2 linked regions of the Alligator mississippiensis genome follow. The protein of the gene in region 1 interacts with the protein of each later gene in a pairwise test. Links are inferred from orthologs where the notes say so. Each region holds a gene or a part of one and is shown in the gene's direction. Other genes may lie near its edges.

Evidence for each region.
Region 2: the proteins of LITAF (region 1) and HIP1 interact in binary tests that used the Homo sapiens proteins (3 or more experiments, as listed by UniProt). The link is inferred for Alligator mississippiensis from reciprocal best matches to the Homo sapiens genes LITAF and HIP1.

The regions. Positions count from the first base shown.
Region 1 is NC_081836.1:39,426,469-39,434,031, reverse strand, and holds the start of LITAF (lipopolysaccharide-induced tumor necrosis factor-alpha factor), read left to right. Parts: upstream 1-4,548; 5' UTR 4,549-4,664; coding exon 4,665-4,812; intron 4,813-5,764; exon of another isoform or gene 5,765-5,878; intron 5,879-7,563.
Region 2 is NC_081837.1:27,287,477-27,294,985, forward strand, and holds the start of HIP1 (huntingtin-interacting protein 1), read left to right. Parts: upstream 1-4,492; 5' UTR 4,493-4,552; coding exon 4,553-4,669; intron 4,670-7,509. UniProt on the Homo sapiens protein: Plays a role in clathrin-mediated endocytosis and trafficking. Involved in regulating AMPA receptor trafficking in the central nervous system in an NMDA-dependent manner. Regulates presynaptic nerve terminal activity.

The DNA.
Region 1 (7,563 bases):
CTCTATAAGCAAGAAAAACTTCAGTGTTCCCTTCAGTGAAATACACACCACTGTAACAATTTAGAGCAGGATAAGATCTCAGAAATACCTATTTTCTAAAAACATGCCAGGTGGTCTGGACTATTGATATCCAGCTGAGATGCGGGATCAAATAATATACTTAACCCAGCTGTAGCTAAATCAGGACACATTGGTTAAGAAAATCCTGTTCAGTTCTTGGAGAGGGAAAAGTGTCATGATATCATAAGATCTTCCTTCCAATAACAAACCATAATCAAGATGTCTGTTTGTCTCATCTGAAAGAGCAGTGTAGTATTCTCAGGTTTCATAATGAGGTTCAGTCCTGGATGATAGGAAAGAATGGGGAGTATTGAATCATTTACCTGCAGGAAAGCAGATTTGTTTTTTTTGTGGGTTCTCATCAAGTACTCACCAGATCTAATTGTGCTTGATTTGAGATTATTTGAACACAAAGCCTTGGAGAACAGAACTGCAGGGAACTCAGCAGAATAATGCAACTGCAAAGCATACTATTAGAAGTCCTGTTGCCATTTTGAATGTAACTTTACTCTTACTAAATTCTAAACCTGGCTCCAGGATGCATTTGTATGAATGTTTCATGCAGTTAACTCAAGACCAGCTCCAAGATTGTGATCTCCGTGTATGACTGCACCCACTTCAGACAGGGCTGAGCCTAAGTCACATCTAAATCTGGGTGTGATCCAGAAACTAGGTATTCCTCCACATTGGCCCCCGGAGGACTTGATCTCAGAGCACACCTGTAAGATTTGGCTGCTAACCAACAACTGAAGTTGCAGATACCTTTCTTTTACAGTATAGATAAAAGTAGTGATGTTTGGAGCACTCCTTAGAGAAGTGGTGCAGTCAGATTTAAAACCCTTCCTAGCTGAAAGGGTTCAATCCCTATGTCCCAGGAGAATCCCCATAACCCATGTCTCAGGCCTGTTTTACCAGGCCATAGGCAGTTGGGCATTCCTTTTCCTGAAGCGATGCCAATGTGCAGAAAAGAATTAAAGCTTCATTAGCTAGAAAGGGAAGAAAAAGGGAGCATGACACTAGACTTGTGATAAGTATACTCACCAGGGAGACCTGGAGCCTAATCCCCGAATGACAGTTGCAAAGGAGGTGCAACAAGTGTTATTTGGCACAGCAGTGTCCAAATGAGATGTGGAGGTAGCTAACTTGGATACATCAGCTAGGGTTTGCCAGGAACACCTACATACCTTATACAGGCAGTCCTCAGACTTACGACACAATTGGTTCCTGAAAACCGTGTCTTAAGTCGAAACGTTGGAACTAGTAACCAATTTTCTCATAAGAAACTATGTTATAAATGGGGGATTGGTTCCTGAACCAAGGCCCAGTACCCTATTTTCACCAAAAATACCCTAGAATTTTGTATTCGATCAATTATAGATGAGTAATGTAGCTACATTAATATATTTATATTGTAAATAACAATCATAATGATTTGGAAGGACTTCCTTGAGGTGACTTTGCTGGACTCTTTAAAGGGCTCTTGGTTGGACTTTTTGAAGGGTTCTTGGCTGGAGTCTTCTCAGGAGTCTTGGCTGCAGGTTTTTCTGGAGTCTCGTCTGCTTTCTTAAAGAAAGTGTCCAAGGAAGTTTGGACAGATGTTCTCCAGGGAGATGAGTGAAGCCGCGAAGTTGTTCGTTGGCATGGCATTGCATTGGATCAAGCGTTGCAAGTCAAAATTGGTGTTGTAAAGTTGAAACAGGGTGTCAATTTATAAATGTTGTAAGTGCAAAATGTTGTAACTCAAAACGTTATCAGCTGAGGACTGCCTGTACATTTCTGGGGTGTGGCTCACACTTAAGCCCAGCAGAAGCTTCCCGGCTTTGAATTCAGATATGATCAGTGCTGTGAATTAAAATTGCAAATTCACCAGAATAAGCTAAACAAGTTGCTTGAAATCTGTAGATAGTAAAATCAGTAAAAATGTAGATGGTGAAATATTACACGTGGTAAACAAATGCATGCTCCTCAGTATGCTTCGTTGCATTGACAATATGTTGTCATTAGAAGCCCCCAGAGTCACTAGATCTACTGACAAAAATCACTGAATTGGCAACGTTAGAAGTTGGGTGCAAATTACGGGGGAGCTTGGGGAGGGGAGGAGGAGGCAGACACTCCCCATAAGAGACAAGAGCCCCCCTGTACGATTTGAAAATCATAACCTGGGGGGGTCTCCAATTGGATTGCTCCTTCCAATGAACCAGTTTAATTTTTTTCGCAGACCCCCCCCAGTCAAAGTGTAATCTGAACCCTGACTAGAAGTAATGGGTGCATCCTCCTGCAGCCAGAAGGAAAAGCCTAAAACCCTGTGAAGGGATGGAAAGTAAACTACTCTGCTGTCTCCAGGACTCCTGGGGGCTGGTTTCATGCCTCCCCATGCAGCATGCTGCCTATTGTGAATCCCATACTGAGGTGCAGTTCTCGGGCACTGTACAGGCAGTCCTCGACTTACAACATTTTGAGTTACGTTTCACACTTATAACGTTAATAGATTGACACCGTTTCAACTTTTTGACGTCCGTTTCGACTTTACAACACTTGATCTGACCTGACGCCATGCCAGTGAACAGATTTGCTGTGCCGCCCATCTCCCTGGAGAACATCTGTCCAAACTTACTTGGATACTTTCTTTAAGACAGCAGACAAGACTCCAGAAAAACCTGCAGCCAAGACTCCTGTCAAGACTCCAGAACCCTTCAAAAAGTCCAACCAAGAGCCCTTTAAAAAGTCCAGCAGTCACCTCAAAAAAGTCCTTCCAAATCAATATGAATGCTATTTACAATATAAATATATTAATGTAGCTATATTACTCATCTATAATTGACTGAGTACAAAATTCTGGGTTATTTTTGGTGAAAATAGGGTACTGGGCCTTGGTTCAGGAACCAATTCCCCATTTATAACATTGTTTCCTATGGGAAAATCGGTTCCGAGTTGCAACGTTTCGACTTAAGATGCGGCTTTCAGGAACCAATTGTGTTGTAAGTCTGAGGACCGCCTGTATAGGTACTTTATCCAGAGCAGTGTATTGAACTCCAGGAGCAAGAAGCTCAACCTTTATGCACTGCAATATTTAAGTCCCTCCAGCCTTAAGTTCCTCCAGTCAGGGTCAGACCAGTCTAGTTGGGGTCAGGAAGGAATTTTACACCATGGTCAGTTTGGTATGTTTGGGTGGCTGTTCCAGGAGCCTGGGCACAAATCCAGCTTCGCCCTGATAACCTGCCCAAGGGGGAGAGGTTGGCCTTCCTCTGTAGCAGGGCGGCACGGCTTTCTCCTTGGGATCTCTTGAGCATAAAATGACATTCCATAGAAGTAAGACACTGGCTACCATGGATCCCCTGCTTTACCTGTGGCACAGGTTACGGTGTTAGGTCTGTGCTGTGTCTTTGTTGATGGTAGTCTTAAATAAAGTTTATATCAGGGGTGGACAAAATATGGCCTGTGGGCTGGATCTAGCCTGTCAACATACTTGGCAGGCCACCAAACTCAGTGGATCTGGCCTGCAGCTGGTGGCTCCAGCTGCTGTGGTTCCAGGTGGGCGGGTGGCACTGTTTCTGCCCAGCAGCATCAGCTGTGGACTCAGGTGAGGCCTTCTACCGCAGCAGGTGGGCAGCAGCATCAACTGTGGACACCACCGGCAGGTTCAGGAGCCCCAACTGAGAACCTGCTGGTGGATGCACAGCTGATGCTGCCACCTTCCCAGCACAGTAGAAGCTCCTGCCTTGAGCCCCAACCAGGAACCTGCTGCCAGTAGCAGCTGTGGACCCAGGTAGCAGCTTCAGTGGCACTGGGTTGGCGGTGGTGTCAGCTGTGGCTGCTGCCGGCAGGTTCTGCATCAGGGCTCTTGAATCTGAAAGCAGTGTCCACAGCCTGCCTGCCCACCATGGCAGAAGTCCCCATCTGGGCCTACAGCTGGGCACTGGGGCTCCTGGCAAACTACAGCTCACACGAGGATCTGGAGGGAGGGAGAGAGAGGGATTAGGAGAGAAGAGCGAGACACAGAGAGAGGGATGCGGCCCTCAACGGGTCACCAAGACTCATGAGTGGCCCCACAGCAGAAATACCTCCTCCCCCCTAGCTTAGATTGTGAGTTGTAGGGGACGGTTTGGATAGGGACAAGAATGCTCCTGCCTCAGGCAGCGGGTTGGACTAGCGGAGCCCTGGAGGGCCCTTCCCGCCCCGCTGCCCCAGGCTCGCTTTTCCGTCCTGGGTTAGAGGGAGAGGTGCCGAGAGGAGCGTGGCTGCTGCCTGGAGCCTCGTGGCGGGCCGGTTCCCCAGCGGGGGGGGTTTGACTACTACTGTTCGTGACCGGGGTTTAGTTGCAGCCGCTGGCTTCCAGCCCCGCGGGGAGCCTTCCCGCCCGTCTCCAGCCCCGGCCCGCGGGGCCGCCCCGAAGGACGAGCGCGCCCTGTGCCGGCCCCGGCCCGGGGGAAGCTGCGCTGCGCGCCGCGGCGGACCAGCGCCGGCCTCGGCGGAGGGGAGCGCAGCGCAGCGGAGGCCGGGCCGCCCCGAGCCCGCGGAGACGGGGCGGGCGGCAGGGCACTGGCCAAGCCTCGGCCCTGAGCCGTGGCGGGGGGTCGGGTCCGGCTGTCCCCCCGGGCCGGGTTATGAACTTCCCCCCCGCGCCGGTGGATCCCGCCGCCGGGGGAGGGGGCCGGGCAGGAAGGGGCGAGGCGAGGCGGAGCCGGGCCGGCCTTGGGCTGCGGCAGCTTCGTGGGAGCCGGGGAGAGACGGTGGGAGCCGCGAGCCCGGCAGGTAGGCGCGGCGCGGCGCCGCCCAGGGCCTCCCGCGGGCCGGGGCCGGGGCCAGGCCGGTGTCTCGGGCTGCCGTCGGGGGGGGGCGCTGCCCGCGGCCGCCGGCTCCTCGGCGCGGGGCTCCGGGCTGGCAGGCGGCGGAGGTGGCCCCGCAGTGACAGCGCCGAGCCCCCCGCGGCGCCTCCCCCCGGGCCGGGGTCGCTGCCTGCGCCGAGCCCCGCCACCCGCTCGCCGCCCGCCCCTCGGAGCTGGGCCGCCCGACGCCTCCCCCGCTCGTAGCCCCGCTTCCTGAGCCGAGTCACATGTCGGGCGGTTGTTTTCCCTTGCGGTCCTTATCGCTAACTCCGAGCTGCCGCCTGCGTGGGGCCCCGGACATGGTTTAAAGCGGGCTGGGGGCGCCGGGCTCCCCCGGGAAGCCTTGGACGCGCGTCGGCCCGGCGCCGGGCTCGCCCAGGAGGGAAGCGGGCGCCGCTCACTTGGGCTTAGTTCGGCTGCTCGGGACGAAGTGACCCTGCGGCTCCTTGGGCGTTTTTTAAGGAAAAAGCCCCCCCTCGCCCCCCCATAGTTGGCTCTAATTCCAGAGAAAAACCTTGGCCTGCAATTGGCCCTTAAACAGCCCAGTTCAGAAGTGAGTCACCAAGGCAAGGACCCAAAGGGGGAAAGGCACTAAAAATACTAAAGTGAACATTGAAAAAAAATGTGACTTGGTATTTTTATTGCATGTACAAAAACTACTGGAAGTTCAAAAGTCAAGACTGGGAGGGAGCCCGATGTAGACTGACGGTGTGCCAAAGTCAAGTTCAAGTCTGGGTTTTTAGGAGGAAAAAGGCAGACTTTTACCATCTAAACAATAGGGGAATTTGGTGCTCAGGTTTAATGAACTTTAATTAACAGGCTTTAAGGTCACACCTTCAGTTAATTCAACTTCACTTTTCCAAGCGACTCAGTGGACACAAGCTCAAAAAGAAGCAAAAGTGACTAGGTCGTGTACGTACCTGGTTGTATTACAAGTGCAAAAACGCGGGGCCAGAAGCACAAGTTTCATCAGATAACATTTTAATAAGCAAGTAAGATATTTTTAAGAGGAAGTTTTGAGATAGGAAGCTCAATAATAGAAATCAAATAACTGATATATTTTTATTTTTAAAATGCACAGTGCTGTTGTTCCTGTATCTAAGCTTACAGAATTCTTTAAATTATTCCATTTATTGCTTCTCAAATAACATCATAACCTGCAATGTTTGAAACCAATACCCAAAGCCAGAGCAGAATTCCAGTTATGCCAGTCATAAAACTTCTTCAGTAGGACGCTATATAGGATCCTGCTTTTGAAGGGCATCGCCACACCCAGAGACCTACTCAAATTCACAATTTCATGGAACCTGTGAAATTGGGCATTGTTCGTGAAATCCTCTAAATTAAAAAAAATCCTAAAAATAAAATGCTGGCCTCCCAGTGGGAGGGCAAGCTGCTGGCAGGCAGAGTGGTCCCTGGGCTGCAAGGGGGGGTGTTGGTGCTTCCCTCCACAGCAGTGGTGGACCCCCTCCAGGAGGCACCGGGCTCAGGTGGTCCCGGGGGTCACTGCAGCCGTGGAGGGAAGGATCAAGTCCCCGTGCAGGCTCTCTGGGAGGGTGTGGGGAATCAGGCTTACCGCTTTTCTTTTCTTTTTTTTCTTCGGTGGAGCCTGTCTTTCTGGGCTGCTGCCTGGCTGCTTACACGAACTGCCTGCACAGCCCCTGAGCCGCACGGAGCCTGGTGCTTCGCTCCATGGCTGTAGGGCAGCAAACTAAAACTCCTTGGAGGTGTTAGTTTGCTGCGCCCCAAAGTCATTTAAGGTATATTACGCCACGAAATGTGCTACAGCAGCTGGAATTAACGCACAATACGCCACTGATGTGTGCAAACACCAATGCCATTAAAGCGGTGCAAAAGCATTTAACTTGCTTTAAAGTGTCGTGCACACATGCCCAATAGCAACTGCCTGAAAAGGATTCTGTTTAACTAAGTAGTTGACAAGTTATGGAAAGCCTTATTGTTCAGAACATGAAAAACTTTATCTGTACAAGTGTTTATTAGTTTGTTGCTCTTCTACTGAAAAATTTTGGGTGCCCTGACAAACCAGTATATATAGTCTGGTGTCAGAGGGAAAGACTAGTTTATGTCTGTGTTTTCGTAAGTGTCACTAATGACAATGATGACACCTAGATACGTCTGTGCTGCACTGTGGGGAGGGCCACGTACATAAGCCATGTGCATGTTCGGGTGACTAGCGCAGGACTCACTAGTGAACAAGAGCCTGAGTAGTTGAAACCAAAACAGAGAAGGGCAGGTCAGACATTCAGAGGTCAAGAGGAGGGGGCAACCATTCCCCCCCACCCCGATGGATTTGAGATTCACTTCATACTAGGAAAATACTTTGTATTTTTTAGATCATTCTCTTGATTCTTTTCCTTACCAAGTATACAGGTGAGTTTTATTTCTTCTACTTTTTCACTCCAAGCAGTGCCTGCCCTAGTTCTGATAAAAGATATAGGTTTCCTTCACTTTATGTGGCTTCTGTATGTGCAAATTTGCTCTTATGAGACTATCCTTTTTATACCAACAATTTGTTACATGCGAGGCAAATTCATTCTTATGTGACTGGTGTTGTGCAAATGCACAGTCAGCTGCCATGTGCAGTGCATCGTGGGAGTGACGCACAGCAAAATATAGTCTCCTGTGTGGATCTGTGCTCCTTGCTTGTCTGCCCCAC
Region 2 (7,509 bases), on another chromosome or scaffold:
TTATCAAGGATTTGCAAGGCAAGCCATATGAGGAAAAGCTGAGGGACCTGGGCCTCTTTAGCCTAAGGAAGAAAAGGTTGAGAGGGGACTTGATAGCGGCTTACTGCTATATCAGAGGAGTGCATCAGAAACTCAGTGAACAACTGTTCACTAGGAGACTCCCAGGGAAGACCAGGACCAATGGGTATAATCTCCCGGAAGGCCACTTCAGGCTTAATACCAGGAAAAACTCCTTCAGTCAGGGCATCCAGAGTGTAGAATACACTCTGTCCAGAGGTGGTACAGTCACCTACCCTGGAGGTTTTTAAAAGGAGACTGGACAATCACCTCACTGGGGTCACTTGACCCCAGTTGTTTTCCTGCCTAGACCAGGGGGGCTGGACCCAATGATCTGCGAGGTCCCTTCCAGCCCCTAACAATCTATGAATCTATTAATCTACTTTCAAATGTTGAGGAATACAGAACATCTTCAGGTATCTGGTCTAGGAATACAGTCTGGGACTCTGCCAAGCATATCCCTCCTGCAACATGGTGGCAAGGCCTCTGTATGACACAGCCTCCGACTCCTGTTGCTTCTCACCTGCTTCAGATTCCTCCATCTTCTGCAGCATGTGAAAGAAACTGGTCTGTGTTTGGAAATACTCACACCAAATCAAGAAATAAACTAACATGTGAAAGAGTAGAGAAGCTTGTCTCAATCTGGGGAAACCTTCAGTTTTCAGAAGCCCATGAAGATGATAAAAATGAAGGATCAGAAGAAGCAGAAATTGCTGATAGTGATAGCTCAAAAAATGAGACTAGGTAGACTAAGTTTCATGTAGCAAAATTTGTATTCAATGAGTCTTGGTTTGTTTTTTCCTTTTTTTTTCTCTACTCTTTTTCTAAAAATGAGTGCTTTCTGTATCTGCTTGACACTGTGGAGGAGACTAAGTCCAGAATACAAAATAGCTGTTTTTGTTTTACTATGGTGTTGATGGTTTTTTCTATTTTCAACTTTAATTTTTGCCTGCTTCTCATAAACTGGCAAAAATTAAGAGATGCTAGGTTCCTTAGAGTTCAGCAGCTTGTAGCTCCTTTTGTAACAAAAATTTAAAACATTTTAAAGTAAATTAATTTAGTAAATGTGTAATTACTGTCTGAATAAACTATACTTTTAAATTTAATGAATATACCAAAAATTATAATTTTATGAGCAAACCAAGTTATAAATAATACATTTTATGTTCTTAAAGTAGCAAAGTGAATTTAGATCTGTAAAGGGTGATAAGAAAATAAGTACTGCATATACTTCAATTTTTCCTCAAATTTCTGTTTTTTTCCAAAAATAATCCGGAAAAAAAATGTTTTTTCTCATGGCTTCAAAATTTCCAGAAATTTTACATCTCTAATTAGGATTCTAATTAGCCACACATACTGGTAATTAAATTCCTCTAATCAAAAGATAAAACATCAAGTTGTTATGGCTATTACCCCTAGAAACTATTAGTGTTTTGCAAAATTAAGTATCTGTACCTGACCTAGTCCAATACTACTTACATTGACCAACAGACTTTAGTCTACTTTTCCATGCTACTGCTTATGGCTAAAATATAAACTGAAGCATATACTATCATAATTTAGGCTTATGCTAGGTCTAAAACCTGTACTTGTCATTGTGGTGTTTCAGTCACTGACCACTCCTGGCACCCTTTAAAAGATCTGGTGGCACCCAGGGTGTTCCAGCACTCTGGTTTAAGTAAGTACAGTGTTAGAAAGCAAGCAGATAAACTAAGCAGATACATGCAGGCTCAGGCATGTCTCTGTCTGGACAACTCCTCATTCCCACTGCCAGGCCCTTCTGCAAGGCAGTGCTTACACTGTACTATATACATTAATTTTTGAAACTGGGTGCCACTCAATTCACAAAAGACATGGTGGGGTGCCTCAAGTCCAAAAAAGGTTGAGAACCCCTGGTTTAACCTATTTGTAAAACAATATAGTCAACCCTGACACAACCACAAGGCATAACACCCTAACCTGCCACAGAAACGGGACAACAGTGGCCAGTGAAGTCCCTGAATTAGGTAAGAATCCCTCCCTTCCCCTTCCCCTCCATGCTTAGAGGCATATTTCCTCCCCACCTTCCATTGTCACTGTCTCTGGCTAACCTGGGGTGGGGATGGGAAGGTGCTCTAAAGCTGCTTCTGCTCAGCTCAGGCTGAGCTAGGTGGGGAGCTGGGCTCAGCTGGAGACAGTGGAAGCAGCAGCACTAGGTGGGTTCCTCCTGCCTGTATCCACCCAAACCCAGGAGCAGGGTCAGGAGAGGAACCCACCTACTGTCACTGAGCCTGGCTCCCTGCACAGCCCAGCTGCAGTGGTGCAGGAGGACAGTGACCAATTGGGAAATGGGGGGGAGGGGAGATGCTGCTGAGCGTGGAAGGGAAGGGAGGTTGTGTTGAGAGCAGTGGAAGAAATTCTTACCTTATTCAGGGACTTCAAAAAGGTGCCAGGTGGTGCTTCTATGTCATGGTCTGCCCATCCTGGGGAGGGGAGAAGCTGGAAGTAGGGGGTGCATCCACCCCTGAATCTATGGTTGCTGGACCCACACCGCCATTTACAAAATTCTGGATCCATCCATGCCCCCCAGGCATGTTGGGAGAAATGTTTTCAAAGTTCTGTGGCTAAATGGGTACTTGTCTATCACTTGGTGGCTGGCTTTGCCCTTTATATGGCTCTTGTGATCCAAACGGGCAGACACCATACACGGAATACTCTCCAGTGTCAGCAGAAGCTCCACTGTATGTAAAGTGTTGTGCACCCCGAGAGCGCTGGTGCAACCCCTGTCAGGCTGCACTCCCCGCTTAGGCAACAGGTGCGGGGGGCAGGCGGGAGTGCTAGTGCCCCCCTACAAGTGCCAGCTGCAATGAAGCAGTGCATGAAGTGGCTGCAGTGGTCCCGGAAGTGCTTGCAGCCACTTTCAGGTAAGTGTGATTGGCCACGGGGGACACTCCCCTCCTGGTTGGTGAGATTGGCTGTGGGGGGACCCTCCCCGGTTGCTGACTGTTCACTGGGGGGGTGACCCTACGACTCAGATGGCACCAGTCACCCATGTGTCTCTCTCTTATCCTGCAAGATGAGACTGCACTCCTGATTTCTATTTCTGTTGCAGATACACTCTGCCTATTTGTGTTATGCTTGGTACAAGCCTCAGATAGGGGCAGGGACGTTGGGTGAGTGTGGGACCTGCTGTCTTCCCTCCTGTGCCAAGGGTGTACTCGGGTAGAATACATTTAAAACCATTTTGTTTAATTTCCACTTTGTCAAGGTGCCAGAGGCCTAAGGGCACAGGCATGGCTAAATTAAAGTCTGTTGATCTCTTGCTGCCTGTCCCTGCACGTCTGTGTCCATGTCTCTCTGTCTAAAGCAGAGCTTCTCATTCCTAACAGAAGGGCAGATGAGTTGAGAATATTTTGCCTTTCTCTAAAGTATCTCAAAACACTTTAATTAATTTGCACAGTTCTCATGGTGCTCTCCTCATTCTAGAGATGGGAACCTGCAGCATGGAGCAGAGAGCAAGTGATTTGGTCGGAGTGGCAAAGCCAGGCCTCAGAAGAGTTGGGAATGGATCGCAGGCCTACGGACTCTCAGGAACGTGTGTGACTGCAAGGTCATAGTATGATCTTTCCTCAGGCTTGGCGGAGGAGCATTCAGCCATATTTCAGGACCCCGCTTCTTGCCTTATTTACTTTTATCTTCTCAAGTCATTGATGATTTCTTCTCAGACTTTCCCAACCCAGCTGCTCCAACCTGCAGGCCTACTCCATCCCCAGAGTATGGGTCCCAAGGAGGCCAAGGTCAGCTTCTCCATCCCTATCCCTGGCTCGCATGCCAGGCTCCAGCAACCAAGTAGCAATGAACCACTGGGCTGGATGGACTTGGCACTGCCAGTGCCGTGCTCACTGCCTGGGACACCCGAGCCATTTACAATGCTAAGAAGGCGAGGCTGCCTCCTGGGAAGGCCCCATAGCACAGTCTAGCAAGGGTGCAGCAGCGATCCCAAGGCTAGAAGCGAGGGGCCTGCAGCAGCAGCGCAGCCCCGGGGACGGACAGGACCGCTGCCCCCACAGCGCCGTGCTGCGCAGCCTGGGGTGGTGGCTCCGTGAAGGGAGCGGCACTGAACGGGGTCCGAGCTTGACACGATGAAACAGCCAAAGAGGCAGCGCACGCCCCGCTTCGCAGCACCGAGGTAAGCTTCAGGACCCCGCCAGGGAGGGAGGGAGGAGCGGGCGGGGCGGGGCGGGGCGAGCACAGCGCCAGCGAGCCGGACCAGGGCGTGCGGGGCTCCAGAAGAAGCGCCGGGACTGCGGGGCTATGGGGGCCGAGCCGTGTTGACCAGCACCAATCAGAGAGAGGGGGCGGGTAACGGCACCACCTGAGCGGCGGGCGTGGGAGCCAATGGCCGCCGCTGCGGGTCAGCCCGTGGCGGCGTAGCCGGGCGTGAGGGGCGGGCCCGTTTCGTCTGGTCTGGTCTGGTCTGGTCTCGGGAGTGGGGCTGCGGGCGCCGCGCGGGGCCATGGACCGGGTGAGCGGCTCCATAAAGCAGGTGTCCAATCCGCTGCCCAAGGTGCTGGGCCGGCGCGGGGGGGGCAGCGGCCTGGACGTGGAGCGCGACGGCTTTGAGCGCAGCCAGGTAGCGGGGCCTGGGGCGGGGCCGCGGGGGCGGGGCGGGGCATGCCCGTCTGAGGCGCTGGCTGCTGGGCGCCCCGAGGCGGCGCCCCGTGTTGCGCTGGAGGAGCCCGGTCCGAGCTCAGCCGGCCGGGAGCAGTGGGGCCGGGCCGGGCTCTGGCCTGCGGAGAAGGTTTCCAGCAGGGGCTGATGCCGCAGGCGCTGGCGGCTCAAGACCGGGGCTGCGCGGTGGTGCTTGCAGAGCTGGAGCAGCCTGATCTTATTGGTCCTTTGGGAAGAGAGGGCAGAAGGCTTCTGGCTTCGGGGACCTCTCCTGTGCTGGCTGCTCTGGCGGTTGGAGCTGGACGCCCGTGCGGCTGTGGGTCTCCCACATCAGCACTGCGGGCGCACTTGCAGAGGTTGTGCAAACACAAGCACGTGGTCGCTGAAAAGGAGAGGTTTCCTTCTGGAGTTCAGCTCCAGACCCGCGTGCCCAGGGGCTAGTGCAAACCGGGATGTTCTCTTAGGCTGCAAACAGGCATCGCTTTTGTATCAGCCTTTTTCATGGTGACACAGAGCCCAAGCATGGAGACTTCTGTGCCCCTTGTTGTATCACGATTGCCCAAAATCGTGGCTGTGATATGTATTAAAATGTGCCTCTTTTGTGGCAGATGTTCATTTGCTTTGTGATGGAAGAGTAGGGGTGGCCTAGAGCTTCCTGCACTCTCCAGCCAAACTGGGCATATGTTCCCAAGGCTTTAGGAGCCCCTGAAGCCCTGGAAGTGCCTGCCCAGGTTCTCTCACTTTCAGGGGCACACCCTGGAAATCTCCCAGCAGGGCATTCTGCGGGTGCAAATCGTGCCCTGGTTTGGGGTGTACCTCTGCAAATGGGTTTCCTCACTTGCAAAGTCACACCCTGGAGATCTGGTAAGGGGACTTCCTCAAGCACAGGTGTGGTGCCATTGTTCCTGAGTCAGGACACATCCTGCAAATGAGGGAACGTGCAGTTCTTCCATTTGCAGCAGCATACTTTGAGCCAGGGTGAAGCAGCATGATTGCACACAGTATGGGTGCCTGGGGCATCCTCTGTCACGGGATTCCCAGGGTGGGCCTCTAACTGGGAGAACCCAGGAGCAGCAGCAGCGGTGCAGCCATGCAGGACAGTGGGTGGTATCTGTGTCACCCAGTGAAGCCCATCAGCTCTGCTGGGACACATCCTGGCACAGCTGATCCCACTTCAAGGACAAGTGTGTTTATAGCCCTAGTGTTAATCAATGCTGGTATCATTACATTGACTTATTGCACAATTCCCAAATAAGCTTTAAGTGTCTGTTTAATATTCAAGGCTCTTCAATGCGTCATGATGACCTGTGTTAATGGAGAGACAGAGTTAGTCATGTTAATCTGAAGTCAAGCAGAAGGCAGGGTAGATTTGCACTATATAAACCAGGGGCAGTTAATTATTTTGAGTGGAGGGCTGCTTAATGAGGTTTGGTGAGTTGTCAAGTAGCCCTGCTCCTTGACAGATGCCCTGCCCTTGACTTCTATCTTGGGACCGGAAGTTCCACCCCTAACCGCTGACAGAAATCCCTCCCCTTGCCCCCCTGCAAATATTCCTCTTGGAAGTGGGGGTTGCCAACTTAGAACCAGAAAAAAACCAAATCATACACTAAAAGTCAAATGCCTACTTTAACTTATTTTAATTTTATTACAAAAAATATTTTCATTGTGATTTGTGGTTGTGTGTTCTATATAGAGGTGACTGCACAATAACTCAAAAATAAATTCTTAGTCTTTTATATTGGGTGTGCTGGAGGTGGGGGGTGATGGGGATGTGTGGGTGATGGGGGGGTGTGGGGGTGTTTAGGGGTGTGGGTATGTGTGTGGGGGGGAGTTTGTGAGGGGGTATGGCTGTCTGAGGGGGCATAGGGTATGCTGGGGGGCTGCCGTGGGGGGCGGGGGGAGGTTCTGGAATACACTGTCTTCTGCAGTCAACACAGGCAACACTTGTGGGGGTATGCATCTGTCTATGTGTGTGCTTTGTGGGATGTGAGGGGTGTGGGGACCCCCCCCACACACACTTCCCCTCATTGTGCAGCAGCAGGTGGGGGTGATGGTGCCTGGCTCCGGCCAGCACTGCATGTTGCAGCAAAGAGTGCAGCCCTCGCCTGACCGTTTGTTTCCCTAGTACTCCCCGCGCTTACGGGGCACAGGAGTGAAGCTCCAGCATGGAGCTGGATGCTTTCCCTGCCCCAGCCCACTTCAGTACCTCAGGCTTTCCTCCCGTGCCTTGCAACTGTGTGGAGTGCTGGGGAAATAAATGGCCTGGAGGGGCCTCCTTATAGTGCTGGCCAGAGCCAGGCAGCAGTGCTGAGCAGAGCGCCCCCTTCCCTGCTGCTGCCCTGCCCCCCCCCCCTGCCAGGGCTGTGCATCATGGGGGCAGTATGGGAGGGGTCCTCATACCCCTCACACCCACACCTTGCCCACCCAAGCTCCTCACTGCTGCTGCCCAGGGGCACGGGCTCCACTGCAGCCAGCCCCATGCTCTGTGCTCCTGCCCAGCTGCAGCCCCACCTGCATCCCAGCGTCCCTGCCTGCTGCCCTGAAGGAGCGGAACACTGGAGAAGCCTGCAGCAGCAGTCCCGCCCTGTGCTAGCGGGGCTGGCCCTTCCGCCTGCAAGGGTGGGAGCGAAGCATAATAGGATATGTTGGGGGTGGGTATAGGTGCCTCACTTCTACCCTTGTGGGCAGAAAGGCTGGGCAGGATGCAATTCGTTGGGTGCTGTGGGCCAGATGAACGTGCCAGCTGGCTATATTTTGCCCACCCCAGTATAGGCTAACTAAAATAAATTTTCATCAGCCTGA